Linked DNA regions of Tribolium castaneum. The protein of the gene in region 1 binds, or shares a complex with, the protein of each later gene. Links are inferred from orthologs where the notes say so. Each region holds a gene or a part of one and is shown in the gene's direction. Other genes may lie near its edges. The genes, in order: Rrp4, Csl4 and exosome complex component RRP43.

Region 1 (10,582 bases):
TTGGCATTTTTAATGTTTTCCTCACAGCAATGTGCTACAAACAGTGGTACCATAAAACTGGCACTAAAATTTTACTAAATTTATGTTTGGCAATCCTACTTGAATCAATCTGTATCCAATTATCCGAAATCAAACCATTAAAAACGCACCAAAACTTGTGTAAAATAATTGGAATGATTCTACATTATGTCGTATTGAGCAAATTCACCTGGATGTTAATTTATGCATTGTTACAATACTACCGCTTCGTTAAAGTGATTGGAGTCATTCCGCAGAAATTGGTCCTAAAATCGTTGATTCTGGGTTGGGGGGTTCCCCTAGTTTTGGTGTTTCTGGTCGGTTTAACAAATGATCAAAGTTACGTTTCGGAATCGTTTGAATTGTGTTATCCTCGCGGTTTGTTGCTTTGTTTCGGTGTTTTGCTCCCGATTTGTGTGATAGTTGTGGCAAATATTTCGATTTTTTGTGTCATTATGTACAATGTTAGTAACACGGTTGCTGGTAATCGCAAATTGTTGAAACCGCGGTTGTATTTAGCTTTGTTGTTGTTTTCGGTTCTTGGGATTCCCTGGGTTTTTGGGTTTGTTGCCGAGCTTTTGAATGGTTCAGTTTTGAAAATCGTTCTTTTTTACGTGTTTTGTGTCACTGCGACTTTGCAAGGTTTTGTGCTATTTTTATTTTATGTTGTTTTGAATAGGGAGACTCGTTATTTTTGGGTGACAAAGTTAATAAAAAAATAAAATTGACACTTACTTGTTTTAATTTGTTAAAACCAAGAGCTCCAACACATATGTCCCTCTTGCTGCACTATAAGTGTTGTTTTGCATTCCTTTAAAATTGATTAAATGATATAAAAGTCTGCACTTTACTCCCTTTAGACCAGTGAGAGTCATCTCAATAAGGGGGGTCATTATGCACTTAAAATACAACAGGCAAATTAGTTGTAAATTAGATGCTACCGGTGTGGAAGCAGTAAATAATATTATTGATAGAATGAAGTCATTGCTGAAGTCTGAATTTGATTATGACTGACGGCTTTATTATTTTAAAATCGCGGATTTTTCCCTTTAAAAAATAATTTGCCTAGCGTCAAAGCTCAAACAGTGCGTGTTATGCAAGTTTCAATAAATTATAACATAAATGAACAAAGATAATACAATTTCTAGAGACTTGATTAAATGAATAAAGGTTTTACTATTAAAGTATTAAAAGTAAAATTCGTTGCATTCTGAATACCGCAAAAGATTGCTGTTTCACCAAATTATGTGAAGTTTTAAAATTCACCCATTATTTAAATGAATAAAAGTAGGTAGGTATTCGAAAATTCACGGTCTTATTATTAAAGATAGTTGTATGTTTGAAGATCTTTATCAGCAAAAATCCAGTTTTATTTTAATAATAATAAACAAAATGGCACAATAATTATATAATAATAAAGTATCAACAACTGAACAACTGTTCAGGTAATTATTTGCTGCATAGTACGTGTCATAAGAACAAAGAGGTTTGTCTGATCATTAATGCTTTTACCACAGTTCTTAACATTTTTTGGAGTCCCTAAACATTAATTTTTTCCTAAATAAACCAACAATATTTTGAAAAATTTCAAAAAATAAAGTTGACATTATTTTCATTTCCCTAAAAGTTAATTTAATTTTTCATTTGGATAAAAAAACTGTACATAAAAAGTAAATTGGTGAATTAGTAGTGGACTGTGATTGGTTGTAGATATTGTTTATTAAATTATTTTTGTAATTTATTGTTCGCAGTAATTTGCCAGTAAAGAAAAAAATGTTATACAATTAAAAACGTTTTCTCTAACGTGGTTCTCCCTACCAAAAAAAAAAGACAGGTAGTGTTTGATTGTAACAGTTTTTATTATATCTTATTTGGTACAATCATATACAATATGTAGGTTTCAAATCAATTTCGGAATCATAATAACTAAGCGATGTATTCAATAAATAATTAGAATGAAATTCATTTGAATAAGGACTAAAAGAAACGATTATTATACAACTAGGTATGTTACAAAAATATAACAAAAATAATAAGATATTGCTAAAGATAGAATTTCATTTTGTCATTCTCACAACGTAATATACCCCTTCAATTGTGAAATAGTATCAGGATCAACTGTTTGTAGCAGTTGTTCATACTGAGGTAACCCAATCTGATTCCTAAGTTCATACATCTGAAACAAAACCACCAAAACAATGCAAACAAAAAATAAAAATCAACTCACTTGTGATTGCAAATAATCTTTCAAAACTATCGTATGCACTGGATCCGACAAAATCAATTGTTTCTTCCTTTGATCATGATCGGTTTCATACGGCACAACATCATCATAATCACTCGGACTACGACCATCCGACAACAAAAGTGAATCTTCCATATCGTTCAAACACTCCAAAATATTGACCATAACTGTTGCAAATCTCTGAAACACTGGCCGACTTTGAGTGGTCAATAAATTCGTCAACGCTAGACCCAAAAGTTTGCGCTGTTCTAATTGAGACACCATTGGCATTTTCGATAACCAAACATTTAAAATTTTTCCAAGGACATTTTCGTCCGTTTCATTATGAACTTGAGCCAACGTGCGCAAAACACGTGTAAAAACATCATGCGAGGAAAGCAAAACACGTGCCAGTATAGACAGGTACATTGACATTAAGAGAGGATAATCCTCACCCTCGTAGATTTTTCTAAAATTAATTCTGTCATTTAAAGTTGTAGAAAAAATCAAAATCACATACTGGAATATACGTGGTAAAATGGGGAAAACAGTCTCGCAGCCTAGAATCGGTGACGATCGAATAAAAATTTCCAACATTCGGATCAACATTACAATGCCTTCATTTTTCATATCGGCCATTAAATTATCACAAACTGTAATCACTTGAACTCCGTGTGTTCGCATGACAAGATCTGGCGCCAACAAAGTGTGAACCAACACAATCAATAGGCAAAGTCTTAAGTTCTCAGTTGAATATTCCAATAAAGTTGGCATATTGTTAAATAGTTGCAAAAGCTCGTTTGACATAGTTGTAGAATTTTCCAACACAGTCAACCACAACTCGAGACAATCCTCCAAGAGATAAACAATAGCACTTTGATTCGTATCAGTGCCTAATTGTATAATCGGTAATAAAAACGGGTTCAATTCTGAACTAACCGACCCCAAAGCTTTGACCAATTGAACCAAAGTCGAAACAATCGCACATCTCAACATATTATGATCTTCAGATTCGGTCCACAACAATGGCAAATAATGAATCAATGCATCAGTGTGTGGTTTAATAGTCTGTCCTACTCTCTCCACCATTAGGGTCATTACGTTCAAAACGTGCATTTTTGTCTCGCATTCGTTCGCTTCTTTCAACAGATTAAACAATAAGTTAAATGCTGGGTCTAAATAATCACGAAATTGATCGGAACTGAACTCAAAATCATCAATAGCGTATCGTAGTGTTGCAGAGGCTGTTAAGCGAACAGCCATGTCTTCGTCAGGACCTAATAAATTAATCACACATTCGTATAAAGCTGGACGTAATTCCGATGATAATTTTATGCCAGTCCAACGGCCGATTAAGGCGCAAACTCTTCGCCGAATCACACGGTAATTGTTCTGTTTCATTTTAAGCTCATGAGTTAATGTGTTGGTGAACCATGAATCGAAATCGACCTGAAAAATATTTTTTATACTTAAATGTTTTGCGCAAAAAATAAGTAAAAAATTGTTTCTCTACAAAAATTACGAGTACATTTACCTAGATTTTAAATTTTTATTTCATTAATAAATATTTTTTGTTTATGACAAGAATTTCTTTAGAAATAATATGTTTTTAATATAATATAATACATATAATAATAACAACAATATTCTAAAGTTTTTTTTTTAATATTGTTTTATACAAAAGACAATAATTTTAGAATGCCAGGAAATATTTTTTTGCAATGACTTAAAATTAAATATTAATTAATTAAACATTTTTTACTTACCTCGTCATAAAGATCATAAGCGGCCAAGTTAACTGCATTATAGACTGCGTCTTTACGTAATATTCCTTGAGTGTCTTCGGGTAAAACAATACAGTTGGTTTCATGAATCATTTCAAGCAAAACCGGAGCTAAAGCGTCCCGAAATTCGTGAAAAATTGTCACGAAAACAGTTTCCATACAAGGCTGAAATTGTATTTAATTTATTTACACAATTATTTCTTGTTCTTACCCTCAAACTATACTTCCAACTATCACCACTTTCATCAATCGCAAACGTTTCTGGATCAGCATCCCACATTTCCAACTCTTCTTGTGTCAAAATAAAATAATGCGAGACCAATTTTCGGCAAATTTCGGTTAAAGTATTGGCTTGAAAAAAATTAATTTTGATCTCGTGCGCTTTAAGTGTTTCCTCCTGTTTACACATTTCGAGAATTTTCGGCGGTTTATATTCCACACACAAGAGAATATTTTTAATTAAATTAAAACACTGAATAATGAAGCGTTCAAACAAGAAATTAATTCCATCAGGAGTGAAAAGAAAATAAGTAGTAAATTCGAACGAAGGTTGAATGAAATCAATGAATGAAAATGGATGTACGTCCAAGACGGATATTAAAACTTTCGTTAAGTGTGTAATGAATTTTTCGCATTGTTCCACCAGTTCTTTATCCCTCAAATGTTTCCCTGTAATGTTCAAATGTGACGAAAAAAAAATTATAACCACACAAACTACTCACTGCATTGCAGTGCCATTTTAGCGCGATCAAAAATCACTTTCAAAAACTTCATACAATCCTGGTTTTGATGCGGTTTATAAAAACCAAAAACAGTCAATTTGCGTAAAATCCTCAAAGTCAATAGTGCTTTTTCCAAATTTGTAAGAACTAGTTGCGAAGCTGCGCCTTTCATTACATCATTCATAAATTGTTCGGTGAAATTATTCCATAAATTCAACACAAACGAATAAATATTACTGGAAAACTCTTGGAAAAAACGGCGATCGCCTGTTAACCGTTTCGAAGCAATGGCTTTAACTACATGATGAAGAGTTAAAAATCCTCGATGTTGGACTAGAGAATCAGGACTTTCAATTACTTGTAGTAAAGTCGGAAATAATTCGGGCCACTCTTTCGGACAATCAATTCGTGCAATTTTCGAAATTAAAACCGCTCTTTGTACCGCAATCTGACTAACGGGTTCGTTAAAACTTAAAATTAAACCGTGTTTAATGTTTTGTTTTTCTGCCTCTAAAATAGCGCTAGAAATGGACATTAACTTTAGTTAGGTACATTACAACTTGCGTGACTTACTTTGGTGCGTTTTTTCTCCAATATCGTTCAATACCATTTTTTATATACAAAACTGCAATCCACCGTACGTTTATATCAAGCGAGTGGTTAGATAAAACATTCTGAAGAATGGTGTATTATTTAATTGTGTTTTTTGCCCAATACGTACAAATAAAACTGTGTAAAATCCAGGTTGAGTTTCCCATTCCCGTAATTTGGCTTCAGCCGGTTTTAACACTTCTGGATTTTGACTCGAGGCTCTTTGCAGAACTTCAATTACGATGTCTTGTGTTGATCCCGTATTCATTGTGAATTATAATCATTTCCCCCTTGAGAACCACAATTTATTATAATACACAACAATATACGAATTATTTTCAATAAATTTTAACTTGTGTGTAAGACAAATCGCAAAAGTGAGGTTAGAATAATTTAATTTTGATTTCCTAATACGCCTTACATTATGGTAATAACAAATTTAAAATTTTTTCATTTCAATGTGGAAAAGAAAATTTTGCCTCACCTGACCGGTATTATACAATTATTTTTTCTTAAATAAAATTATCAATTGTCAAAACACATATGACATGTTTCAAATGACATGCACGACTACCACAACAGTCATTAAAAATACCAAAAAACAAAAATTTCCTTTTAATAATTAAATTACACATAAAACCGACAAAATAGAAAATTAAAAACAAGTTTCAATAATAATTCAGATTGATAACAGAGAAGTCACAATTTTATATAGATTGCGTACTTGCGTATTGTTGCTTGCCTAACCCAGTAATTGTTGTTTCTAATCTCAAATGCGGTTCGAGTGTTTTGCAAGAACATGCCGCAAAAAATTCACATACGCCTTGCCGCTCATCGCATCAACCCCTCAATTGCTGTTAACCGTCGAGTTCCAAAGATATTTACTCCGGGACAAGTGATTACGGAGCAAAATGAATTTATGAGGTTAGGTTTGTCTCGTGTTTTTTTTTGAAATTTTGCGATTTTTCTAAATAGAGGGCATGGTACGTACGAAGAAGAGGGTTTTTTAAAATCATCAGTTGCTGGAGTTAAGGAACAAGTAAATAATTTGATTTCGATTCGTCCGTTAAAAAGTCGATATAATGGTGAAGTGGGTGATGTGGTGGTTGGACGAGTCACAGAAGTCCAACAAAAACGCTGGAAAGTTGATACGAATTCGCGTCTGGATTCGGTCTTGTTGTTGTCTTCCGTTAATTTACCAGGAGGGGAACTGGTACATAAAAGATTTTTTTGGTCGTTAATTTTGCAAGTAAGTTGGCAATATTAAATTTCAGCGGCGTAGATCAGCAGAAGACGAGCATATGATGAGACAATATCTTCAAGAGGGCGATCTTATAAGTGCCGAAGTACAGAGCGTTTATTCAGATGGTTCTTTATCTTTACATACTAGAAGTTTGAAATATGGAAAAGTTTGTCTCGTGTTTTTCGTTACGTTTTGATTATACGTTCATTTTTGATTGTAGCTTTCTCAAGGTATTTTAGTTAAAGTCTTTCCCTCGCTCATTAAAAGGAGCAAAACACATTTTCACAATTTCTATGTTGGGGCTAGTATTATTTTGGGCAATAATGGGTTTATTTGGATTTATCCAACTGTTTCAAATGCTGAGGATAACGCTGGTGGCTTTGTGCAAAATTTGGAACAAGTTGTGTCTCACAATAGTTTTGTTGTTTTTTTTTGCTACTGTGGTGTTTTTAGGTCGTTTCAAGGCCAGAAAGAGAAACAATTGGACGTCTTCGAAACTGTATTTTGGCGCTTATTCAAAGTAAAATGATGCTGTACGATACTAGCATTTTGTATGCTTTTGAAGAATCACAGAAATATTCAGTGGCTGAATTATTGATTCCTGAAGCTATGGTCGATGTAGCAATTTTGACTCAGGATAGGTTAAGCATGTTGGAAAATTCATAATAAATAGTTTTTTCTTATAAAAAATGTCTATTATTCGACTTGAGAACGTGTATAAAATAATCGATATAAATAATGTTAGCCTAGTCGAGATATATACAAAAAAGTAAATAAATAAAATAAATAAGTACACGAATTAGACTGTTTACCGTTACAAAATTTGCTCTAGGAACGAGAGTCAGTGCAAATTAGTTTTAATAAGAGATCAAGAAAGTATAACTTTTGCAACGGTAAAATAAAGCTTCCATCACCAAGGCCGCCACCTTCCCGAAAAAAAATCCTTAAAAAATACATATTGCATAATGTAGAGTCGGGGAATTCCCTATTTGATATCTCATCTCGAGTTAACGATATCACAGAACTAACAATGCTGCTCGTCAACTCAACCGAAAGATCAAACTTGATTAAAGCACCAAAGTGTCTCTAAATCTTCAAGCGATGTGTTTCCCGGGATTTAACCACTTCTTCATGTAGTAACAGAACAGCGTACTGATGTAAAGTAGAACTAATAAGGCACAAGTCACACCCAAGGCTAACACTGAAGTCTTGGTGGGGCACGGTTCAATGATCGTTACTGTTTTATCTAGAAACAAATCAATTGAATAAAAACTCGTCCGAAATCCAACACTAATACCTTTACCGAAATCAGCACTCGATTCGCTGCTTTTGAGAAACTGCGATTGTTTCTCATCTCCAAAATCAAGAACTAGGATCTCTTGACTCAAAGTCATGTCTTCTTCCTTTTCTTCATCGGTTGTATTACTCACAGATCTCTTTCTCCTACCCCAAGATTCGATCGAATCCCGTCCCCATTCGCACACAGCCTAACACAAGAAAATCACCACAAATAAACATAAAAAATTAATTACTCACAGCTTCGCACGGTCCCAGACAATACTTGACATTGCATTGAAAAATCACGCCGTATGATTCCGTGAAACGGAAAGCTTCATACACTGATTGGAGAGCATTTCCGTCGGGAGTGAAGGCAGGAAAGATGCTGGGATCAACCGGACATCCTTCGTCATCAATAATTTGGAACGTACTTTTAGAATCTTTAGCCATTGCGACACAACTTCGCGCAAAAATACCATACGGTGCTAAAATAACAATAACAATATTTTAATGGTTAAAATAAATTACATACTGTCTTCGGGAATTTCAATCCTGAAAGTGAGTTTGTCTCCAATTCGCACTGTTTCCACCTCACGAGACCGACTATCCAAGATGCGGATTCTTGGAGGTGGCGCTTCAGGAGCTGAGGTGATGCTAATCATTTCAGGATCTCTGCAAAAAAATTGGATCGAGTTGTTTTACATATTTTATTTCTCACCTGATTGGCATCATTCCGAAGGTGATATTTTTCGACGACATATCGTACGTGCACTTGACTTTGTAGATTTTATCAGCTTTGGTCATAACAACACTGTGGTGTTGCAAAACAACAGTATTGCTATACACACCGGTCTGAAACAGCGGCTTTTACACACTTTTATTGTTAGGTGAAGTAACATACCACCGACTGCGTGTTACAATCTTGTCCCGTCATCGTTAAATCCAATCTGAAGAGATCACTGTTGATAACATCAACATTACAAGTTTCTGAACGTCCTAAAGCATAAATCCGGCCATTGAACGGTTTGTTGGTCCTGACTTGAACTGCGATTTTGGTATCTTTACAATTGACTGAAACATCGTAGCAAGTTCCAGTTTTGTCACAATTGACATCACTTCGGGTCAAGTTGTTCAAAGTCGGGTCTTCTGTAGCTTCAAACACTACAGGGAGAGTGTTATCAGAGGGAGCCCCAGATGGTGAAACCGTTTCTAAAAGAAATTATTAAATTATAATTCCATCAATGAATGAATTGTACTCACTTTCGCACGAATTTTCGAAATAACTCCCAATTCGTTCCCCGTTGTCAATGAGAGGTCGTTCAGCGTTTAGATAAGTGCTAGGTCCATCCGGTAAAGTTTTGTGGTCAAGGTGGAACAACTGGCAGTTGTATTGTGAGCCTTGTGGAGGTCCCTTGTACAAAAACGATCGACAAAGAAATTCGTTTTCGATTTCGCAAGCTAAACGACAAGCCGCTTCACTTGTCACTTGTAGTTCTTTATCGGTGTAATAATGCAAAGAAGCGTATTGTGCTACTTTATCGTCAGCGACTCCAATTCGAGGCGTTTGGAAGATTCGGTTGCCTTTACAAGCTTGATTTCCTTTTAAACACAGATTTTCGAAATAGTCAACACCTTGTGCGTCTACGAATTGCACAAATTGACCAGTGGTACGTCGATCAGAGTCGCTCAATTGACATTGGAGAGTCACATAATTGTATTCCACCGAACGGCAGGTGAAACGGTGCTACAATGAAAATTTTATAGTCACATTTCGAAGAAAAATTACTTTTTCCAGTCAAGGTGTTGGGGATAAGCTTGCTGTGAAGTATTTAATCATGTAGGGATCTATCTTTTAAAAGAAAAAAATCTCGAAATTTTCTTGTAACTTTACAAGAAAGTGTAATTCTCATTAAAAATCCGTATTAATTGAAGAATTTCTGTTAAAAAAAATAAAGTTTCTAGCGAATGCAAACGCAAAATTTGTTCAATTTTAGGTTTTTGCAAACTTTTCGCTAAAACCTATTTTTCATAATGAAGGCAATTTCAAATCTACAAACGACCTTCAAATTTGAATGCAGCGCATAAAATTTTACATAGCATTTAAGTATCTATGGCGATTTTTAAAATTGTACACATTAAATAATACAAAAAAGTCAAGAAAATATGTTAATGTACAATTTTACAAAACATATTTTTATTCCGTATTTCGTAAACGATAATAGCTATTTTATTCACTGTTTACTTCATGGTAAAACAACCATTGTTGTTTTTCTGTTTTTGAAGCAAAAATTATCCCCAACATTTTGATTAAAAGTGTTATTTATACCTCATTGAGACAAGCCGCAAGACAAGCTTCTTTAGTTGAAGTGTAAATAAGGGCGTTGTCCAAGCCCCTTATCATTTTATTCGGGACGCGTTCAAAAGCCCAAGGTCTCAAACAAACGTTCTCTGAACGTAGTTGCAACTTGGTCATGTAGTACATATTGACGGAACGTTGTGGTACCGCTGACGGATTATTCGATGAAGTTTCATTCTGAAGTTGACAAAGCGTTTCTTGGACGGGTATTAAAGGATTTACCACGAAACTAAAAGCTGCAGCTTGACAATCGGGCTCTTCACGACACCAACCTTGACACTCATAAAGACTTAAATTTTTTACGGTGTAATATGTGTTTCCTCGATAATCGAAGTCTGTTAGTTTTTCAAACGCTATCCTTCCTGG
Region 2 (10,147 bases), on another chromosome or scaffold:
AGTCGAAACTAACCAAACTGCCTCAACTTAGGTACTATTATTAAAGTGGGGGAAACCCCCTCCAGGAGTAGGAAAGTGATGATATAATCTTCAAACACCGACTTTATTAATTAATACATAAATATTTTGGCACATTTGAATTCACATTTTCCAATAATAATTAGGTACTTAAACTAGTTTTTTCTCCTAAGGTGGTACCACCAGATTTCGAAATTTTGGAACCCACCCATTGTCACATTTACAATAATTAAAAACACGGTATGGCCCAAAATCACAAAACGGTACCACCAATACACACACAATAAATAAGTGACAAAAAACGGCAACAATGTCCAAAAAAATAGCGCAAGAAGTAGTTCCCAACGATTTTCACTTTTGAGGATTCGTCCGTGGAGAAATTGAGTCGTTGAGTGGTACTCACGTAGAGTACGTTCTTTGTCCAACCAGCGTTTTTGCAAAAAATCGCAAAGGCCGGCCTCCGTTTTGGGCAAAACGGCACTAGGGTACCTAAAATATAGGTAGTACCAAAAAATATATACAGGGTGTAACAACAAATAGAAAAAGTTTATTATTGACTTTGAGGTACTAATTTCCTGATACAGGGTGTTTTCGAAAAAAGCATATGTAAACTTATGTTTTTTAATATTTATATATTTACTGAAAGGTCAGTAATGAACTTTTCCAAGTTGTTGGGACACCCTGTATAATTTTTTAAAATTATTAAACCTTGCTAAATGTACTTTGACCAGTTTTGGAAAATTTCCTTTCAATAAAATAGCTTCGTTTTGTGGTACCAAATCAGGATAGACCAACGTGACGTCATAAACCGCATCCAGCGCCTTCTTCTCTAACATTTTTTTGGCCAAAAACACAAAACCTGTAGTTCTAGGATGCAGAACAAAATCGTAACTTTCAAGCCCATTTTTTCGTGCAAAGTTATCACTTTTGGCTTTGGTACTATCGGTAAAGTCGGTACCTTCAGGAAAAACCAACAAACTATACTTATATCCAAGTTCTGAGAAATAATCAATCGCTTTCCCCAGAGTTAACTTATCCAAACCCCAACATCTCTTAATATAGACAAAACAGGCCAATTGCATGACCCAGCCCGGCCCTGGAATGTGTCTTATGACATCTTTTAGCACAAATTTGGTGGCAAATTTGAATTTCCCGCTTCCTGAAATAGAGTGATACATCGTGGGCCACAAAAAATTCCAATCCGTCCGCGTCCGATGATTCATAACAATGAGCGACGTTTCGTCCGTTTGAATGGCATCACCAGATACTTGTATCTCGCATCCGCACAGTAACTCGAGCAACACCTACGGAACGGACGTGAAACCGGAACAGTGTATGGAGCGCTTTACCGTCGGATAAAACTGCCAGAACGTAAATAAAGCGTCCGTACACGTTCGGTAAAACTTGTTTGAAATAAACAGAAGTGGCAAAAGGGGACAAAACATCGCATAGCCTACAAGTTAATAAAACACAAGGGTGGAAAATAATCTATTATTACCTACCAGCCATTATACTCGAATACCACAAAAAACAATACAAAAAACCGTGAAACAAGCCCATTTCGGTGAAAAAAAATTAAAATACGGCGAATTTTACGAAAGATTACATGGTGAGGGTTGAGATGAATTTATTGATTCGCAGCATCCGACAGTATGACCAACTAAATGAAAAATAAAAGGGAAGACTTTTAAGGGCATTTAATCCAATTATGCCATTGGTCGTGACCGAGTTATACAATCAAGCCACGTGTGTTATTTAATCCAATTAAAACAATCATTAAAACGAAAGTTGAATTTTTTATTAAAAGGAAAGTTTGTAGTATAGGCAACCAATCATACAACAGACGCAAAAACTGTTTATTTTTTTGTTTGTGTACATTTTTTGTTGTATTATTTGTTGTTTAGCATCTGGTAGTACACTTAATACATTATTGATAAGAACTATTAATTAACAAGAAAAATACCGATTACGTAACATAGTATAGGCAACCAGTTATGCACACAATTAATTAATTGCATTAAAATAACATTAACAACATTTAAAAAACGCTTTAGTTCCTGGCTTTTAATTACCGTATCGCATAATATTATTTATATATTTTATTAACAAAAATTAATAAATCAGGTTAGGTAACATTACTAATGCTTACACCAGAAGAATGAAATTAGCGAAATGCTTGTTTAAGTGATTCTTAATCGTTGTTATTTAACAATTATGGCAATTATTACTAAACAAAGTGAAAGTTAAATGTTATCGTAAAACTTTAATTATAGTGAGTATGCAACCAGTTATACAATCTAATATTAAATTATTCAATTTGGGCAAATTTTATCACTTCCGGTACGTTTTCCGTGATAAGGAATCATAACAAAACGACGCAAATGTTTAATTCTGGCAAAATAATCTATTAAAAGTTATGCAAGTTTTTTTTGTGGTGTTTTTTTTTTTAGTTAATAATTGAGGTGAAATAAAACAAACACATAAAAACGTAACTTTTATTTATCTAACAACACTGAATAATTTATTTCGCGTGTGAGGGAGTCAAGGTCAGTTGGGACCCAGCCATGGGTCTGAAAACGTTGCGTCTTGTTTGTACCATTGGTCGGTTTTTTGCAATCACCCCATCGTCCATTGACACGAAAACGGAACCATTTTACCAAAAAATGTACATTTTCGTGGTCTTGGGTTTGCTAACTTGTGGGCTAATTTCAACCACGATTACCAACAATTTTTACCTTGGGGACATTTACATGAAAATCGTGGTGGCTTATTTGACCGAATTAAACTTGTACATTTTTAGTTTGTATGTGTTGGTAGTGGTGAATTTGAGGCAACGCAAACGTTGGTACCTCCTGATGCGTCACCTTGAAATTATCAAAATCAAGATAAAAGTCCCTAAAAAGAAGGGCTGGAAGTTGCCGTATTTTAGTAAATTTTGGGGATTTTGTTTTTTGACGTTGTTGTGTGAGGCTTTGGTGGATTTTCGGTGGGCGTTTTTGTTCGGTTGGCGCTACTTGAACAAGTTTAATGTGCGTTTGGTGCAGATTTTTTTCACCAATTATTACAAATTTATGCTATGTGTTGTACTGAACACGTTTCGGGTTTGTTACCAGAAAATACGCCACCAAAAAACGCTAAACGAAACTGTGCAAATTTTCGTCCAGTTGAGACAAACTATTGATGTTTTCAACGAAATTTTCCAATTCCCCATTGCTTTAATGGTCGCGTTCACGACTTTTGAAGTCCTTAACTATATTTTGTTCACCCTGTATGTGAAAATTGAAGTTTCGGTGTTTGAAAGCATAGTTTTGGCAAGCTTGAGGCTTGGACCGACTGTGGTTAGTGTCTTAATGGTTTAGGTTGGCAGTGCTAGTTATTTTTAGGTTTGGACCACTGTTTTATTACTACTGTGTGACTACGTGAGACAAGAGGGCGAGAAAATTGTAACATTGTTTTACGAAATGCGGTTACAAAATTACGAATTGTTTGAGTTAACCGAATATGTGGAGGAGAATTTGCCGGTTTTAACCGCCGGTTATTTCCGGTTGGGCAAGCCGACGATTTTGCGCATGTTTGCCACTGTTGCCAACTTTGTGATCGTCGTGGTGCAAGTCACTAATAAAAATTGAATTCTGATTTTTCACTTTTTCTTCCTGTTTTTATTGAACTTGAACGAAAAAAATCAACAAATTTGGACAAAAATGACCAAAAATTTATTTTTTTCTAAGCAAAAACTTAATTACTTCGCAATTTTTTTTTAAAAATCGGGTAATAAATCACAAAATTATTCAAAAATAACATTTTTTGCAAATTCTGAAAATATAAACACGTTTTTTTAAACCAAAAATCTAGTTTTTTTCCTGTTTTTATTAAAGTAGAATGAAAAAAATCACCAAATTTGGTCAAAAATGAAAAATAATTTACTTTTTCTAAGCAAAAACTTCATTATTTCGCATTTTTTTAAATCAGGTAATAAATCAAAAAATTATGCAAAAAATGAAATTTTTTTGCAAGTTCTGAAAATTTAAACACGTTTTTTGACCAAAAATCTAGTTTTTTTTTTCATGTTTTTATTAAACTAGAACAGAAAAATCACCAAATTTGGTCAAAAATGAATGAAAAGTTACCGTTTCTAAACAAAAACTCAAATATTGCGCAAAATTTCTAAATAATTTAATTGTTATGGAAACGGCCAGAACAACAGTGACAACTGTTAATACAGTGAAACTTCTGTCACCCGAACTAATTCGTCCGAAATTATATATTTTTGAAATATATAGAAAGACGAAATTTAATTGTAAAAAAATTTATTCATCTTTTAAAAACTGCTCATCCGCTTTATTGAAGTCTTCGCTTAAACTTTGGGGCACTTTAAGTGTCTTCAAATCATCTTCTCCAATTTCCTCCTCGGTGCGTATCAAAATATCGACCAAATTTTCACACGCTAAAAGCACCTTTCTGTCCTTTTCCCACTTGTGCAACTCGCGCAAAATCACATAAGTGTTTCTCTCTCTGATAAATTCTCGATTTTTTCTCTTGGCACATAACTGGGTCAAAGCCTCCAGTAACATGCACCTGATATCTGGATCTTCTTCACGCTGTTTCTCCTCCGGGAGATATTGCAGTTCAAGGGGGAGCTTGTCGTTGTCTTCGTCGTCAAATTCCTCGTTTCCGGCCAGGGGGCGGAGCAGCCGGGGCAAGATATCGACATGGGGGCCCAAGAGCAGCTCATGACACTCGGGGTCAAATGTGCAGTTACGCAGGGCCCCCACGACGCCCCCGCGCCTCACGGCCGACTCCTCGAATTCAATGAAAGGCACGAGTTTGTGGATCCGGTCCAGGAAGCGTCTCCGGACGCGCCCACTTTGCGACAAGTTCGAAAAAAGGGGGCTCAAGTAGTGGAGGTTAGCCCCCGCTTTATTGTACTGTTTTTTCGTGAAAATGTCAATCAAATCGTCCAAACTTGCGCTTTTCTCAAGCGCATCAATCACTTTATCGTGATTGGCCCGAGATAAGTTCGATAAAATCATGCAGGAAAAATCGGCGATTTTACTCATGGGGTCCGTCACGAATTTAACAACAGTCGAAGTAATGTCACTCGGGGGGCTCTGTAAAGGGGGGCACCCCACACTCGTGTCCAAATCAAGCAATGCCAGGGCCCCCTTGTGATCAGCAGAGACATTAACAAGGCAAAGTGCCGAGTCTTTGACAATTGTGGCGTTATTATCACTCAAAAGTGTGATTAAGGAGACCAGAAGTGACGGTGTGTTGATTAATGTGGCAATTCCGTCCGCATTCCCCGTCAAACCTACAAAAAAATTACAAAAAACAAGTCTAACCTCGAACCCTATTACCCAAAATGTGCCCCAAAGCCACCGATTTGAGGTCCAAACGGGCCCCCAGATGCACAAACTGCAACAATTCGGCCACGGAATCACCCATTATCAGGCTAAAGCCCCCAAAAAAAAACAAAACACGAGGGGTGACAGCTGTCAAAAAAGTGGGGTTAGGTGGCAAAAAATCATTCTAATAAGTAAGGCATTATTTTTTTAGGTTTATCTCTACGTTGTATGTATATACAGGGTGTAATGAGTAGTTAAATAAACATAACATAAACCAGTTTATTTAATTCTGTAGCCAAATTAATGGTCGTAATTGGTAATTAATGTTAATTAATGAATGAGAAAGTAAAATTTTGCAAATTCGTTTTTTGACAATTGACAGTGACACTTGACGTAACCTCAAAAAAATCAAAAATTTCGTTTTTGTGCTGATTTTTCGCATGTTATAGCTCCTTGTGTGCCTTTGATTGGCTTTGAACGTCGTCTGCCGTGATAATAATATTGACAGTAAAAGGAACACGCAGTTTTTGAAATTTCTTCATGTCAATTGACATTTGACTTAACCTCAAAAAAAATCAAAAATTTCGTTTTTTGTTGATTTTGGGCATGTCATCGCCCCTTGTGTGCCTCCCGGGGCAGCGGCTGTGCCTGTCGGACCCCTCGCACGTGTCCGGTCAAGGCACGTACGAGCGTGGGGGCTACATCTACGCCACCCTTGCCGGTGTTGTGGACATTGTCCCCAAAGACAACGTCCAGATCATTGAAGTGCGCAGTTCCGGGCAGGAAACGCTCGTGCCGTCACAGGGCGACATCGTCACAGCGCAAATTCACACAATCACGCAGCAGTTTTGCAAATGCTACATTAAGTGTGTCGGGGATAAGGTTTTGGGGCGGCAGTATCGCGGGATTTTGCGGAAGGAGGACGTGCGAGCGACGGAGAAGGACCGCGTGGAGATTTACAAGAGTTTCAGGCCCGGGGACGTGATTCTGGCGAGGGTTTTGCCGATCACGGAAGCTCACACTTATCAGTTGTCCACGGCTGAGAATGAGCTGGGGGTCGTGACGGCGCACTCGGAACATGGGGGGCTTATGGTGCCTGTGAGCTGGACGGAGATGCAGTGCTCCAAGACGTTTGTGAAGGAGGCCAGGAAGGTTGCAAGAGTTGTGCCAGAAAGCGTGCAAAATGATGTGAAATAATGTTCAATAAATTGTATTTTTGTTTATTTTAATAAACCCTTTTGCGTCCCTTAAAAGTGCAAAAAAGTTAATTGAACTATTAGAGATAACCCTATAAAGTTTATAATCGTTGGAAAGCTCTTTGGATTATCTATTTTTTTCAAAAATGATTATTGTTCTCCGACTAATAGTTTTCGAGAAAATTGCAAGCAAAAGCAAAAATTGGAAACATTAAAAAAATCATAACTAAAAAACTATCGGGAATTTGGCGATTTTCTCGATGTCAATCGATTTCCCGGATCATTTTGCATAGGTAAGGATCAAAATAGTTCCACTTTTTCGAATAGTTTAGCCGTAATTCGATAAAAATTGAAAAACTTAAAAAATCACGCTGCTTCCTGAAAAACGTGCTCAAAAAACTTAAAAATAAACGCAGGCGCGAAAATTTGAATTTGAACCTAATTCTTTAAATATCTCGGAAACTAAGCGTTGGGCGCAATTTTGTTCTATGAGAGAAAAGATGCAACTTGATGTAGTCTAAGCGACGGTCTGGTTGAAATTGTAATTTTCAATAGTCATTTTGCTATCTCTTTAAGGAGCCATAAAAGACCTACACATTTTTGTGTTTTTGTAATGTCCAGTTCAGGCGGTGAAGTTTGAGGGGTCACTCGATGGGGTTTATATTAGTTTGAAAAACCCACCCTTATATTTTTTTTCAACTTTTATTAATACTTTTTCTAGTTTCGGGAACTGTTTGCAGTGGAGAATAAGTTGGTTTTGATTTTAAAATTTTTGGTCAACTAGGAACAGAGATACGAGATTTATTTATTGAAGGGTTGTTTTTTATGAAAGTGGCTAAATGTCATTTAAATCTACTTATTTTGTTTTATTTTGTCTGTTGTTGCTGTAATTGTACGACCATGTTAAAAGTCCACAAAAACGTAAAAAAAACGGAATTTCCGCCCCACCAAAAACTAAGGGTGAGTTTATTTTTGTGTTTGTATGATGGCTGTGAGGGTCTCAATGCGTAATCGTAAAAGTGGGACTTAAAAAAAAAAAAAAAAAAAAAGGAGAAAGAAGGGGGTGAATTACATGTGGCCTATTCCATATTAATGGATTTCCATATGTCTTAACAACCCACAAAAGTTGTTTTTAGTCCACAAAAAGTCCATATGTTCGATTTTTAGATGTTTGATTTTTTCAATTTTCGTCGCAGTTTTGGTCGATTTTGGGTACCCGGAATTTTCTCGAGCAATAGCTCCGGAACTATCAGAGATAACCCCATGAAGTGTATTATCGTTGGAAAGCTCTTTAAATTATCTATCTTTTTCAAAAAAAATTAGTGTTCTGCGACTAATAGTTTTCGAGCAAATTTGAGAAAAATGCAAAAATTGGTAAAATTTTAAAAAATTCATAACTAAAAAACTATTCGGAATTTGGCAATTTTCTCGATGCCAATCGATTCCCCGGATCATTTTGCATAGGTAAGGATCAAAACAGTTCCACTTTTTCGAATAGTTTAGTCGTAATTGGGAAAATAAAAAAAATAAAAAAAAAGTTAACACCCCCCCCTTAAAATCGGTCAATTTTTAAAGTGTCTCTAAATCAAATGAAACCTATTCTATCTTATAGATTTTGATGTGCTCTTTACGATCGAACAAACCGTTTTCGTCTAGCTCTTTTAGTTTGGCCGTAATCGGCGTTTGAAAATTGAAAAATTTTTTGCGAGATATCGCCTTGAGTCCTATGCCATTTTGTAGAGTTTTTTATTCCGGTTATCCTCCATTTTTCCGTTTTTCGATAACTCTAATAGTTTCGCCGTAATTGGCGGTTGAAAATTGAAAAAAAGTGAAAATGGAAACCTTTTTTTGCGTTTTTCTCGGAAACTGTAAGACTTAGAGCAACGAACAAAAAACCATCTGATAGCGCTTAATTTTATCTATTTTTTCGACTAAACCCGGAGCCGCTCCGGGCAACGGTTCCGGCTACAGAGGCGATCAAAGTTTTTCACTAAAAAAATTCATAAAAAAAAAACTAAAAGTCGTAGAGCACTGCGGTTTGTTCCATTGAATTCTACGGCTCATTTTACATATTATATCAATTTTTCACAGGAATTAAAAATTTAAAATTTTTTGCCTAAATTTAGGGTAGTCATTTGTCATAGTGGAAAATTTTATTCAATAAAAAAATTCATAACTCGAAAACTAAAAGTCGTAGAGCAACGCGGTTTGTTCCATTGGATTCAGCGGATTTTTTTCTGTATTATACCAACTTTTCACGAGATTTAAAATTTTCAAATTTTTTGCTCAAATTTCCTGAGTAATAAATTTGTGCCTACACCTTACCTTCAAAGTGATGAAAAAAAATTTTTTTTTAAATTCACTCCACCAAATTTTTATGGACTTCTTTATGTCTTAACAACCCACAAAAGTTGTTTTTAGTCCACAAAAAGTCCATATGTTCGATTTTTAGATGTTTGATTTTTTCAATTTTCGTCGCAGTTTTGGTCGATTTTGGGTACCCGGAATTTTCTCGAGCAATAGCTCCGGAACTATCAGAGATAACCCCATGAAGTGTATTATCGTTGGAAAGCTCTTTAAATTATCTATCTTTTTCAAAAAAAATTAGTGTTCTGCGACTAATAGTTTTCGAGCAAATTTGAGAAAAATGCAAAAATTGGTAAAATTTTAAAAAATTCATAACTAAAAAACTATTCGGAATTTGGCAATTTTCTCGATGCCAATCGATTCCCCGGATCATTTTGCATAGGTAAGGATCAAAACAGTTCCACTTTTTCGAATAGTTTAGTCGTAATTGGGAAAATAAAAAAAATAAAAAAAAAGTTAACACCCCCCCCTTAAAATCGGTCAATTTTTAAAGTGTCTCTAAATCAAATGAAACCTATTCTATCTTATAGATTTTGATGTGCTCTTTACGATCGAACAAACCGTTTTCGTCTAGCTCTTTTAGTTTGGCCGTAATCGGCGTTTGAAAATTGAAAAATTTTTTGCGAGATATCGCCTTGAGTCCTATGCCATTTTGTAGAGTTTTTTATTCCGGTTATCCTCCATTTTTCCGTTTTTCGATAACTCTAATAGTTTCGCCGTAATTGGCGGTTGAAAATTGAAAAAAAGTGAAAATGGAAACCTTTTTTTGCGTTTTTCTCGGAAACTGTAAGACTTAGAGCAACGAACAAAAAACCATCTGATAGCGCTTAATTTTATCTATTTTTTCGACTAAACCCGGAGCCGCTCCGGGCAACGGTTCCGGCTACAGAGGCGATCAAAGTTTTTCACTAAAAAAATTCATAAAAAAAAAACTAAAAGTCGTAGAGCACTGCGGTTTGTTCCATTGAATTCTACGGCTCATTTTACATATTATATCAATTTTTCACAGGAATTAAAAATTTAAAATTTTTTGCCTAAATTTAGGGTAGTCATTTGTCATAGTGGAAAATTTTATTCAATAAAAAAATTCATAACTCGAAAACTAAAAGTCGTAGAGCAACGCGGTTTGTTCCATTGGATTCAGCGGATTTTTTTCTGTATTATACCAACTTTTCACGAGATTTAAAATTTTCAAATTTTTTGCTCAAATTTCCTGAGTAATAA
Region 3 (10,503 bases), on another chromosome or scaffold:
GTTTTTGATATAATTTGTCCCAACCTACCTAGAAATTCAGGATCAAATTACCCAATCAAATATTTGCATCTTTATGACTATCAATTATCATGTGTTTACCGTTTCGAAATTCAAATTAAGTTTGTTTCTGGCATATAATAAATGGCAAAATGGAAGCACCAAACCCACACAAACATTTTACAGCAAAATGGAATTAGGCCAAGATTTATTTGATCAAACTTTTAGTGCCGAACCTGATTTATTGTCCGCCAGTAGACTGTCATAATAACAATTAAGTTTCCTTTCGAATATAAAATGAAATATCGACGAGCAACCATGTCAGCGAAAAGAACGGTAAACCGGGAGATTGCGCGTGAAATATCTCTAAATCTAATTAAAGTGTGACTCGAGAACAGTATCGAATCGTGATTTATTCATAAATAGGTTTATTTTATTATTGGAATTTTCAACTTGTGCAGTATTCCTCCAAGCAAACATTTTTATCAATGGTCCGCGATTTTTCAAAGCGTTTGATTACGAGAATTTATGAATGAAGTTCTTAGATAGTCGTCGTAAGAATGAGTCTGTAATTTACGGTTCGCTTAACATGATCATGAATAAAAATCGCTAAATTCTAATGACAGTTAATTTCAAATTATTTAAATTCACTTGAGCGTAAACGTGCTTGTTATAATGTTACAGATATTACTCGCTTCCATTCAACAAGAATTGGATGGCATCTCAGCAGTTCCTTCCTGTAAACAAATTTATTCGGTGCACATGTGAAAAAATAGCCAATTTATTTAAATCGATTTCTGATTGAATTATTGTGGTTGGGTACAACCGCGTAATATTCAACAATAAGCTCACAAAAACGCCAACGATTCGTTAAGCTTCTCCACTCGACAAATAAACCAATTTATCGTTTCTTAATCGATTTGCTAATGCGTCCAACCAACTAATTAAGCGCTAATTAGTTATGTAACTGTTTCATTCAATACTAAATGATTGGCTTAACGTGATTACACAAAAATTAGCTGAAACAGTTTTAAATTTAACGCTGAAATTTCCACATCCAGCCACCTAGCGGCGAGTAGCGATGGTAAGAGCTTCAGAAAACCTCCACAAGACTGCAGCTTTTGCCTCAATTTGTGCATGCAACCTTATTACCAACTGTCCTTATTTTTTTAAAGCACAGATCAGTAGTGATCAGAATCAGTTTCTTGTTTAAACTATTCTTACCTCTTTGCGAAATACCAAAATAAAAACTCAATAAGATATCAATCACCAATTTTTTATGTTAATTATTTTAAGTTAGGTCGTAATGATGGTACGAGCTGTATATGAGTGTCTTAATTAAATCATTAAATGCGAGCGGCATACACTATTATACTTTTTCTACGATCCGTCTCGTTATACAGGGTGAGTCACTTGTAAGTTTGCCTGAAATTCTATAAATATGCAACCAATAATACTGATTTTAGCTGACCAGATCGATTATTTAATTAAATCAAGTCAAACTTGTATCCTAATGAATTTCATGGAAGTGGAAAAAAAGGGCAGATATTACTCAAAAAAGAAAGTAAATTTTTATATTGCGTCACTCCGTGAACTAGTTTTTTCAGAAAATAAATAATAGCTTGAGCACAAAACACTGGTTCCATACTTTTCACCTGATGGTATGTGAAAATTAGCAATAGGAAAGTAGGGAATGGAAATGGTGTTAAAAATGACGCGTCGGTTGTAGTTCCACAATTTATTGCGTATAGAAAAATATCAAAAATTGTTATTGACAATTTCGTCCATTTTGTTATAAAGGAATGGCAGCAATTCGTTTGTTTGATTCTTAACTACTTATAACAAATAAATAAACTGTACAATGTTTAGGAAACAAGGTAGTTTCAACGAGAGTATAAATTCAAAATACGTAAATCCAAATAAAATAACACATAAAAGACAGTAAATAAAACCATGCAAACTAAAATAATATTGATGGTCGACAGTACACATGAATGGGACACCACAGCACAGCTTACTATAAATTATTACCATCTAATTAATAAATCTAATAATAAAAACTAGACCAGAAAAAAAAACGCAAGGCCTTTGTTCCCTACGAAGTAGAGCAGTCTTTTAATCGAACGAAATCATCTCACCGCTGGGACTAATCTTAGAAACTTGCATATACTTTGGCGCCTTGTACTTGTCCCGAATGGCGTGTTGTGGATTAGATGGCGCTTTGGCGAACATTTTATACAAGAATCCAATACAAGATTCTAATTTTTTCAAATTATATCCTGTGTATTTTTGCAAGTCGCCAGGCCACGCTTCTTCGCCCAAAGTGTGTCTGCTGAGAGCTATCGCCGACGACGCGACAACTGACGGCAAAAACTGTAAATACGGTTCGACCTCCAGAAGCGCCGATTCGCTTAAATACATCGCGAGATTCTTCACTTTTTCGGTTTGTTTTGTGGAAATGCAAATGGCGTTTAGGAAAGTAAGTGGTGTGGGCACCGACAAATCGAAGCCCAACACCCTCAGAATTAACTGTTCCATTCTAATCATTTGGTGTTTGTCGTAAGTGTCGTCAGTGATGTACACGAATTCGCTGACTTCTGGTGGAAAAATTTCCTCGTATTTACTGAAAGGGCAAATTAAACGAGGATAGCGTTTGGGCGATCGACTTACGAAGCAATAAACATTGCAGCTGTACCCACAAGTTGCAATTTGGCCCTAACTACAGACATGTAACTTAAAAATCGGTCGATGAAATTTACGGCCAAATAAAGGGTTTCCGTTTGCATACCGTACTCTTCAGTAACTTCGACAAGCCAATCGATCAAAACAGCACGCATGTTTTCAGTTACGTCAGGCTGTTTCACGATGTAGCCGGGTTTTGGCCGATGTCGCAGCTGAAAACAATTAGTGGAGATTTGGAGGACCAATCACAGTTTATGCATTATGCTTAGTATCACTATCATATTTATTTCAAAATCATGAACTTTGACAGAGAAAGTGGGTTTCCGTATAAATTTTCAAGTTTAGACCGCAAAAATGGTTTAAATACGGTTTTCTAAGTTAAAATGCTCTATTTTCCTTTTTTGAAAAATAGTATATTACGTAAAGTGTAATCTGATCAAACCGTTTTGCTGTAGGACTTTTTATATTTCGAATTATGATTTTTTTTAATAAAAAATTTAAAATGTTTCTGTAAGCGAAGCCATTTTCCGGAGCGGTTTCGAGTTTTTACGAAAACATAGATAATTTAAAACGCATTCTTATTCTTACAGTGCGCACAAAAGTTATCGCAAGACATGATTTTTTTTATAATCATATTCATTGGAATTCGAATTATTGGAGTAACGTAATATTTTTTAAATAAGTCTCAGTTCTGCTTACACACATCCGACAGACGATTACCAGTTTACGAGAAAAACGAAAAAAATTATCCTTTTTTTCAGGCGCCAATTAGGCGAAACTATTGAAACAGACGTCAAAAGCTCTACAAACTGGCGTGGGTTTCAAAGCGATAACTCCAAAAAAAATCAATTGTGAAACGCTAGTTACGGTGAAATTAAAAGAGTTACGAAAAAAATCCTATTCCATCGTAAATTACGACAAAACTAATAAAATATAGGTTTAGTAAAGTAATCCGGAGAATCGTTTGCTGTAGAGAAAACTGTCAAATTCTTCATAGTTTTCAAGTTAACAACATATAATTTTTACCTAATTTTGCTTCTTTAGCAATTTTCTCGGAAACTATTAGATGAAATAGGTAGAAAAATGACATTATCATTTTAAAAAACGATAGATAACACGGGCGAACATAGTTTTTAGTGTTTACAATATTGTTGTCAGTTTTTACCAATTTAATTTACTGCTATGACGACATAGCAATAATTTTTACTTATTTCAAAAAATTAAATAAAACCACTCGGTTTTTGCGCTTTTACCTCTCGTGAGAGACATGTTAATTACAACATTACTGTTGGTCCATAAAATGTGATCTCCCAGAAGCAATCCATAAAAAAAACACCCATACGATTTTTTTTAAACGCGAGAGGTATCACATCTAATATTTGAAATTTTTAACTCAATAATTCACTATTAAAAATTTATAATAAACTTTTTTTTATTTGTAAATGTGGTAGAAAAGAAAACAGTGGGTACTACAGAAATCAGAATACAGGAAACATAAAAAACATCTTTGGCTTGTGATAGTTAAAAAAGCTTTCCAAAAATAACAAACTTGATGGGGTAAAGTCTAACAGTTCCTAAATTATTGGCCGATAAATGCTCCAGAAATCGAACTAAATCTCAAAAAAAATCAGTTTTCAAACACGGATACGGTGAAACTGAAAGACCAGAAAAAAGTCTTATTCCATCGTAAAGATAAGATTAAGATTTATCAAACAGAATGTTCAGTAATTTTTCATTTTTTATTTACTCAATTACAGCAAAAGTATTCGAAAAATGGAACCACTTTGATACTCCAATGTAATATAATCCGAAGAATAGATTGACGTCGAGAAAACGGCCAAACTTGTAACAGTTTTGAAGTTATCTACAGAAATAATTTCTTTCTATTTTTGCATTTAGTAGCAATTTCTTCAGTCGCAGATAGAAAATAAAAAAAGCTTTTCAACGATCAATCTTAATAAGGTCGTGGAAAACAGTTCCGGAGTTATTGCCCGATAAATGCTCCGGGTATCGAAATCAACCAAAATTTTCGCAAAAATTGATAAATCTGATTTTATAAAACCGGTTCAATTGACGCTTTTGGCACATCTAAAGGCTCTAGAGAAAAGTCCACAAAAGATAGTTTTCAAGTTATAGGTAAAAATCGTAAATTGAAGTGTTCTCATGTTTTTAACATATCACAACGTAGAGTATGGAATATAATATACGAAATTAAAGCCATAATGAAATTTCCCGCCCCGAAAGTATTTCAAAAAAAGTCAAAGTTGTTAATAAAAAGGGCTTCAATCTGTTTTTTTTTTTTTAATTGAGAATAAATGTCAATGGATGTAAAAAAACTTGGAATAATTTTCTCGTCGTTCTTGAAGATACTTTACCTCATGTTCTTTGAGATAAGCAAAAATGCTATCCCTATACTCCTCCATTTCAAAAAAGACATCTCTAGCATTGGTATTTGTGGAAACCGTTTGCTCTTTGAGCTCAATGTTCTCCACATCTGATTTCTCAATGCTCATCGGAATCTCCGATTTTCTCTTAAGTTGAGGCGCAGTAATTTCCTTCAATTTCTCCAAATTCTTTTTCCTTTCAATTTCGGCAAGTTCTGTCTTCGTGATAAACCTGTCCTCGGCCGTCCCTTTATACACATTACTCTTACTGATAAGTTTGAGCCTTTCATCGATTCTCGCTCTGTATTCATCATCCTCATACACAGTAAACGCCTCAAACTGGGCCACCGGAACCACGACATTCTTCTTATTCTCGTTTTTTTGCCCATTTTCCACCCGGTTTCCCAAAACGGTTGGCTTCTTCGTCTGGCAAAAAAGCAAACGTTTTTCCCATCCAAAGTTACCTCCAACTGTTAATTACCTGTTTTCCTTTAAGGGCTGCGTTATTAACTTTATTACTGTCAATCTCGCCCAGAACGCCCCGTTTTTGCTGGGCAGTCGTTCCCGGTTTTCGGCGCAATTCCGGCACCCGGTTTTCCTGGTCCTGGTGAATTCTTATCGATGCCATTCCTCTAACACACGTGCAAGTTTCTAATACCCGAAAAACGAAAAGTTTGCTGAACCGAAGGCCAAACTGAACCCCAACTTAAACACCCAAGCTACCCCTAACCGACAAAACGACTGTTTTTAACGGCCAGATGCAAAGAGCGCAGAGTGCGGGAAACGAACAGCTGAGAGACCGTTGAAATGACAAACGGGACCAATGGGAGCCCAGATTTAAGCAACGTCACACGAGTGGGGATAACATGTTTTGAAGGGTTTAACGGAATTTTGCACTAAATCAAAAATCAATCGACAATACTTGTTCCCAACCAAATGCCCTATTTGCAAGCAAATGTCTTCATTACAAAAATTGCATTATTCAACCGAATTTACTCGTTTCAAATCAAACGTTTCCCCCACCGTTGTCGGCAACCAATCAAAACTAACGTCATTAATAATGTCAATTGTCAAAAACGAAAAACGTGGTTATAAACAAATTCAATAATGTCAGAACAATACAAGTAATAATTGTAGTACTGTGAATAAATAACAAGGTGATTATCCTATGTTTTAGGATTTTGCACCCCGTCAAGTACTTCCGCGACCACTTGGCCCACAAAATCCGACCTGATGGGCGCGAATTTGGGGAATATCGCCCCATCGTGGTCAATTTGGGCTCAATTTCGACAGCCGATGGGTCTGCGATTGCCAAAGTTGGTCGCACGACGGTAGTTTGCGGCATTAAAGCGGTGAGTGTAATTGGAGGCATTCAATTTGCTAAACCAAACCTTAGGAGTTGTGTCAGCCCAAGGCTGAGGCTGCAAACGAGGGGTTTTTGATCCCCAATGTGGAATTACCACCGTTGTGTTCGTCAAAATTTCGGCCAGGACCCCCAACTGAACAAGCCCAAGTAGCGACCCAGTTAGTTGCCGATATTTTAAAAAACTCTGATTGTTTAGACTTAAAAACGTTATGTATATTTCCAGACAAATTAGCTTGGTGTTTATATGCTGATTTAATTTGTTTGGATTTGGATGGGGCGTTGATAGACGCGTGTGTTGTTGCGTTAATGGCAGCGCTTAAGTCAGGTAAAGACAATATTGTTTTTTTGTGAAAAATATAATTGCGCTTCAGTTACTTTGCCAGCGGTTCAGTACGATCCAGCCCTTGACAACAAGCAAGTGAATGTGCAAGAGAGGAAAGCTCTTAGTGTTACCAACACTCCAATAGCAACAACGTTTGCAATGTTTGATGAGTAAGCTTATCATTGTTGTTGTAAACTTTTTAATTTTTTGATTGTAGTAAAATTCTCATAGACCCAACAGTGGATGAGGAGGACTTAAGTACGTCTTTGGTGACAATTGTGGTGAAGGAAGAAGAGTTGTGTTTTGTTCACAAGCCAGGTGGCTGTGTTTTTACGGAAGAGCAACTTTTAAAGTGTGTGGAAGAAAGTACAAAACGTGCAACTGTGATTGAGGAAATTATAGAAACAGCTTTTAAAAGTTTATAATAAAAACATTTTTTTTTATAAATGTATATCCTATATTATTTAAATAAAAATTTTAACAGGTTCCACAGTAGGTTGTGTGATCATTTAACCGAATTTAAAATTAAATCACCACACATTTATAAAAAAATCTATTGTCTTTGTTACAGGATTGAAAAAATAAAAATCGGGAAAAATCAACACTTTACATTTTAACGAGTATACATATTGGTATTGCCAAATATTCAACACGTGTCTGAATTTATGTACAAAAAATACGAAACATTGCAAATAATATACATTATTACAAAATACTACAACTCACCACATAATCACATATGATACAAATGTAGAGACTAAGGATGTTAGATATTTTTACAAAGTATTTTACACATTTCGTTCAAAAGGGAAATAAGTCTACTGTATGTACAGTTAAAAGTTTGCGCCTAGGACAGGAATGGTAGTAGAAAAATACCAGGAACAATAAATAATAGGGGTTTTAATAAAAATTTGTATATTTTAACAATGTGTAATTTTACATCGTTGATGTTTTATAAAGTATAACATTTTGTCCTCGTTTATGCCTGATATCTTAATACTACAAATATTTTTTTGTTGATGATCCGATTTTAGAAGAATTAAAACAAATGTAACCAGAAAATGAAACATTACACAACCATTAATTGAGTATAAAAATAAAACTACTTAAAAACAATCATAAATTATGATAAAGTGGATACACCTAAAATTATTTACAAAAGAAAAAATATGTACACATCAAATGAATCTACTCACATTTCTTCCAACAATATTGCTAATGCACTTAGTGATAATCTTATTTCATTAATATGAATTCTCCGCGCTCATAAATAAATAACAAAAAGTATACATCTTCCCTATCATATGTACAGTAGATTAAATTAACTACAACTAAACGAAACTGCAAAAATGCACAAAATTGCTTATACCGTATTATACAGTATTGCGGCCTGCTACAAGAAAATCTCGCGATTTGTACTGTTTTAAATAAAACGGCAGTAAAAACAATAGGCCGTGTCCCTACCTAGAGAAAACTGAAAATAAACTGGTATAGGTCCACTTTTGGCACCATGTTTATTTCTAAATGTAGGAACGACAATTGTGCAATGTAATGCAGCAGATGAGATCAACAATATCTCTTTACTGTTTGCAAAAGTACCACCCAAGCGTTTGAAAAATCCAAACATTACAACCATTTCCCAGTACTATTTATTTTCTCGACCACGAAATAAATAATAATACTGGCTTTGATCACAGAAATAGTGGGAAGAACTCTACAGGTTTATAAATTAAGAATTAAACGAGTGTGATGTTTGAGTTTTACTGACGGCTTGAATGCATTCACAAAGACGACACTCTAATGCTCGGCAGTTTATTATTTGTTAGTGAAGTACTCAGCAAAAGTTAAAACGTATATATAAAAATAAAAACAAACAGGAGAGACTAGTTCGATAACACAATGTACAGAAAATACAATATTACTGTGGATCTGAAGTGTTTGATCGTCTTCGAAGTTTTCCCGCGACGCCCGCCACATTCTTCTGCTGTTGGTTCAGACAGAGCTGTTGATACTGTTGAAATTGAGCTTGCTTTTGCAGTTGACTTGTTATTGAAGCATTTGTAGCTGCATCTAAGAAAATTTACTCTCAAAAGTTTCAAAATGAATATCACAGATTTTACTTAAAAAATTACCAACAAAAAGCATGCATTAATTAATTGAATTAATCTATTAGGACTTCAACTCAATTGAATTTAATGGAAAATGATCATTTTCTATTGACATTTAACTGCAAATCGGTCAACTGACTTGAGTTCTGTGTTGCCATCTTGAGGGTTATTGGTGTTCTTTGGATGTTTTGCTGCATCCTGGGCCTCTGTAAAGGGGTCACTAGCTGATACGATTGCCCGCCCTGAGATAACGACACCGAAGCGGGGCCCTGGGCCCGGATACCCTGCTGGGTTAAACCCTTCACCCCAGACGTGACTAACTGGGCTGGATTTAAAGAAAACCACTTTACAAACACGAAGCAAAAATGAACACAAAGACAACCAGCGAAACCATTCAAAAAATCCTATTTTCTCCTCACAAACCAAAAAAAAGACCAAATTCACTAATTATGTGTGCTTTTGCAAGCGGTTAGAAACAAACAAAGAAATTAAATTTCTGCAATTTAATATTGGAAATCCATTATAAGCAGAGACGGGATTGTATTATACTGTAAAATATGCTAAAAAGGGCAGTAAAAATATAAAATAGGGCCATATAATAAGAATAGAAGGATAGGTCATAAAATCCTAGAGAAAATATTTTCCAACGTCGCATTTTCTCTCAAACTTAGTTCAAAAAATTAATGGCTAATGTAATTTATAGTTTCCGTGAGAAATCTTATTTATAAAAATTTGGTAAAATGCGACGTTAACATTTCCGTAGTTTTGAAACAGAGTAGGCAACTTTAAAGCTTTAACGCTTCAAAGACTCATTTTAAACCCATTTTATTGTCAGAATAACAGATTACGAATCAGGTAAATTAAAAAAAATGTGTACCAACTCTATTCTACCCGAAACGTATAATTTTTTTAATAATTTTGAAAATAAGTCACGTCTATGTTGCGCTTCTCAATAAAAAATATGAAAATCATGTTTTTACGATACTTAAAACAATTTTTAACGTAATAAATTGTTTCTGCCTAAACTGACTTGTTAGATCTCTATCTTATCCTTCACTCGAAAGCCATTTCTTTGACTCTATTTAAGGTTGAAGACAAATAGTCTGTGATAAAGCATGATTTATTGTTGTCTTGCTTAAATAATATTTTAACCACATCTTTAAAGTTGCGTTTTGTTCAAACGCAGGCTAAAAATTTCAGTGTTTAATGAATCTATGGTGTAGATGATTGCGGAAAATAATAATGTAAAACAATTTCACCAAAAAATAGCTTTATTTTGGAGTAAAAAATCGAAAATTTTTTAAAATGAAACGGCTAATTATAAAAATTTATGATTTTTTTTACTCTAAAATAAAGCTAGTTTATTGAGAAATTGTTTTACATTATTATTCTTCACAATCATCTACACCATAAATAACAATAAACATTGAAACTTTTAGCCTGCACTTGAAGAAAAGGCAATTCAAAGAGTGAATTTCAAACCAGTGTATTTTTACCACAATCTCTACAAGGCTCTGAACTCAGAATTCGCCAATTTTGAGACATCTTGTTTGTATACAAAAGTTGTAACAAATGTTGATTTAAATTCGAATTAAATTCAACATCGTATGTTTGACCTGTGATTAGAGTTTGGTTTTTGTTTAC

What was found.
Region 2: Rrp4 (region 1) and Csl4 share a complex: the UniProt entries of both Homo sapiens proteins name them as parts of the RNA exosome core complex. The link is inferred for Tribolium castaneum from reciprocal best matches to the Homo sapiens genes EXOSC2 and EXOSC1.
Region 3: Rrp4 (region 1) and exosome complex component RRP43 share a complex: the UniProt entries of both Homo sapiens proteins name them as parts of the RNA exosome core complex. The link is inferred for Tribolium castaneum from reciprocal best matches to the Homo sapiens genes EXOSC2 and EXOSC8.

What each region holds. Positions count from the first base shown.
Region 1 is NC_087397.1:167,571-178,152, reverse strand, and holds Rrp4 (exosome complex component RRP4), read left to right. Parts: upstream 1-6,057; 5' UTR 6,058-6,138; coding exon 6,139-6,263; intron 6,264-6,314; coding exon 6,315-6,552; intron 6,553-6,613; coding exon 6,614-6,748; intron 6,749-6,802; coding exon 6,803-6,982; intron 6,983-7,035; coding exon 7,036-7,248; 3' UTR 7,249-7,272; downstream 7,273-10,582. Other genes in the region: adhesion G-protein coupled receptor G6, read left to right, coding at 1-740; Impbeta11 (importin-11), read right to left, coding at 2,090-2,194, 2,246-2,711, 2,763-3,691, 4,009-4,191, 4,238-4,695, 4,749-5,269, 5,322-5,422, 5,470-5,607; uncharacterized protein tyn, read right to left, coding at 7,677-7,828, 7,880-8,069, 8,119-8,345, 8,393-8,532, 8,579-8,712, 8,762-9,069, 9,121-9,604, 10,187-10,578. UniProt on the Homo sapiens protein: Non-catalytic component of the RNA exosome complex which has 3'->5' exoribonuclease activity and participates in a multitude of cellular RNA processing and degradation events.
Region 2 is NC_087401.1:17,296,477-17,306,623, reverse strand, and holds Csl4 (exosome complex component CSL4), read left to right. Parts: upstream 1-5,666; 5' UTR 5,667-5,753; intron 5,754-5,809; 5' UTR 5,810-5,966; coding exon 5,967-6,557; 3' UTR 6,558-6,613; downstream 6,614-10,147. Other genes in the region: lysocardiolipin acyltransferase 1, read right to left, coding at 174-507, 727-1,322, 1,368-1,471, 1,521-1,578; uncharacterized protein LOC100141651, read left to right, coding at 2,583-3,356, 3,402-3,647; protein HGH1 homolog, read right to left, coding at 4,326-5,326, 5,373-5,460. UniProt on the Homo sapiens protein: Non-catalytic component of the RNA exosome complex which has 3'->5' exoribonuclease activity and participates in a multitude of cellular RNA processing and degradation events.
Region 3 is NC_087402.1:7,977,596-7,988,098, forward strand, and holds exosome complex component RRP43, read left to right. Parts: upstream 1-6,042; 5' UTR 6,043-6,170; coding exon 6,171-6,187; intron 6,188-6,240; coding exon 6,241-6,415; intron 6,416-6,459; coding exon 6,460-6,754; intron 6,755-6,800; coding exon 6,801-6,921; intron 6,922-6,968; coding exon 6,969-7,176; 3' UTR 7,177-7,246; downstream 7,247-10,503. Other genes in the region: CycA (G2/mitotic-specific cyclin-A), read right to left, coding at 2,113-2,620, 2,668-2,891, 5,055-5,489, 5,545-5,691; uncharacterized protein Spt20, read right to left, coding at 8,670-8,821, 8,999-9,184. UniProt on the Homo sapiens protein: Non-catalytic component of the RNA exosome complex which has 3'->5' exoribonuclease activity and participates in a multitude of cellular RNA processing and degradation events.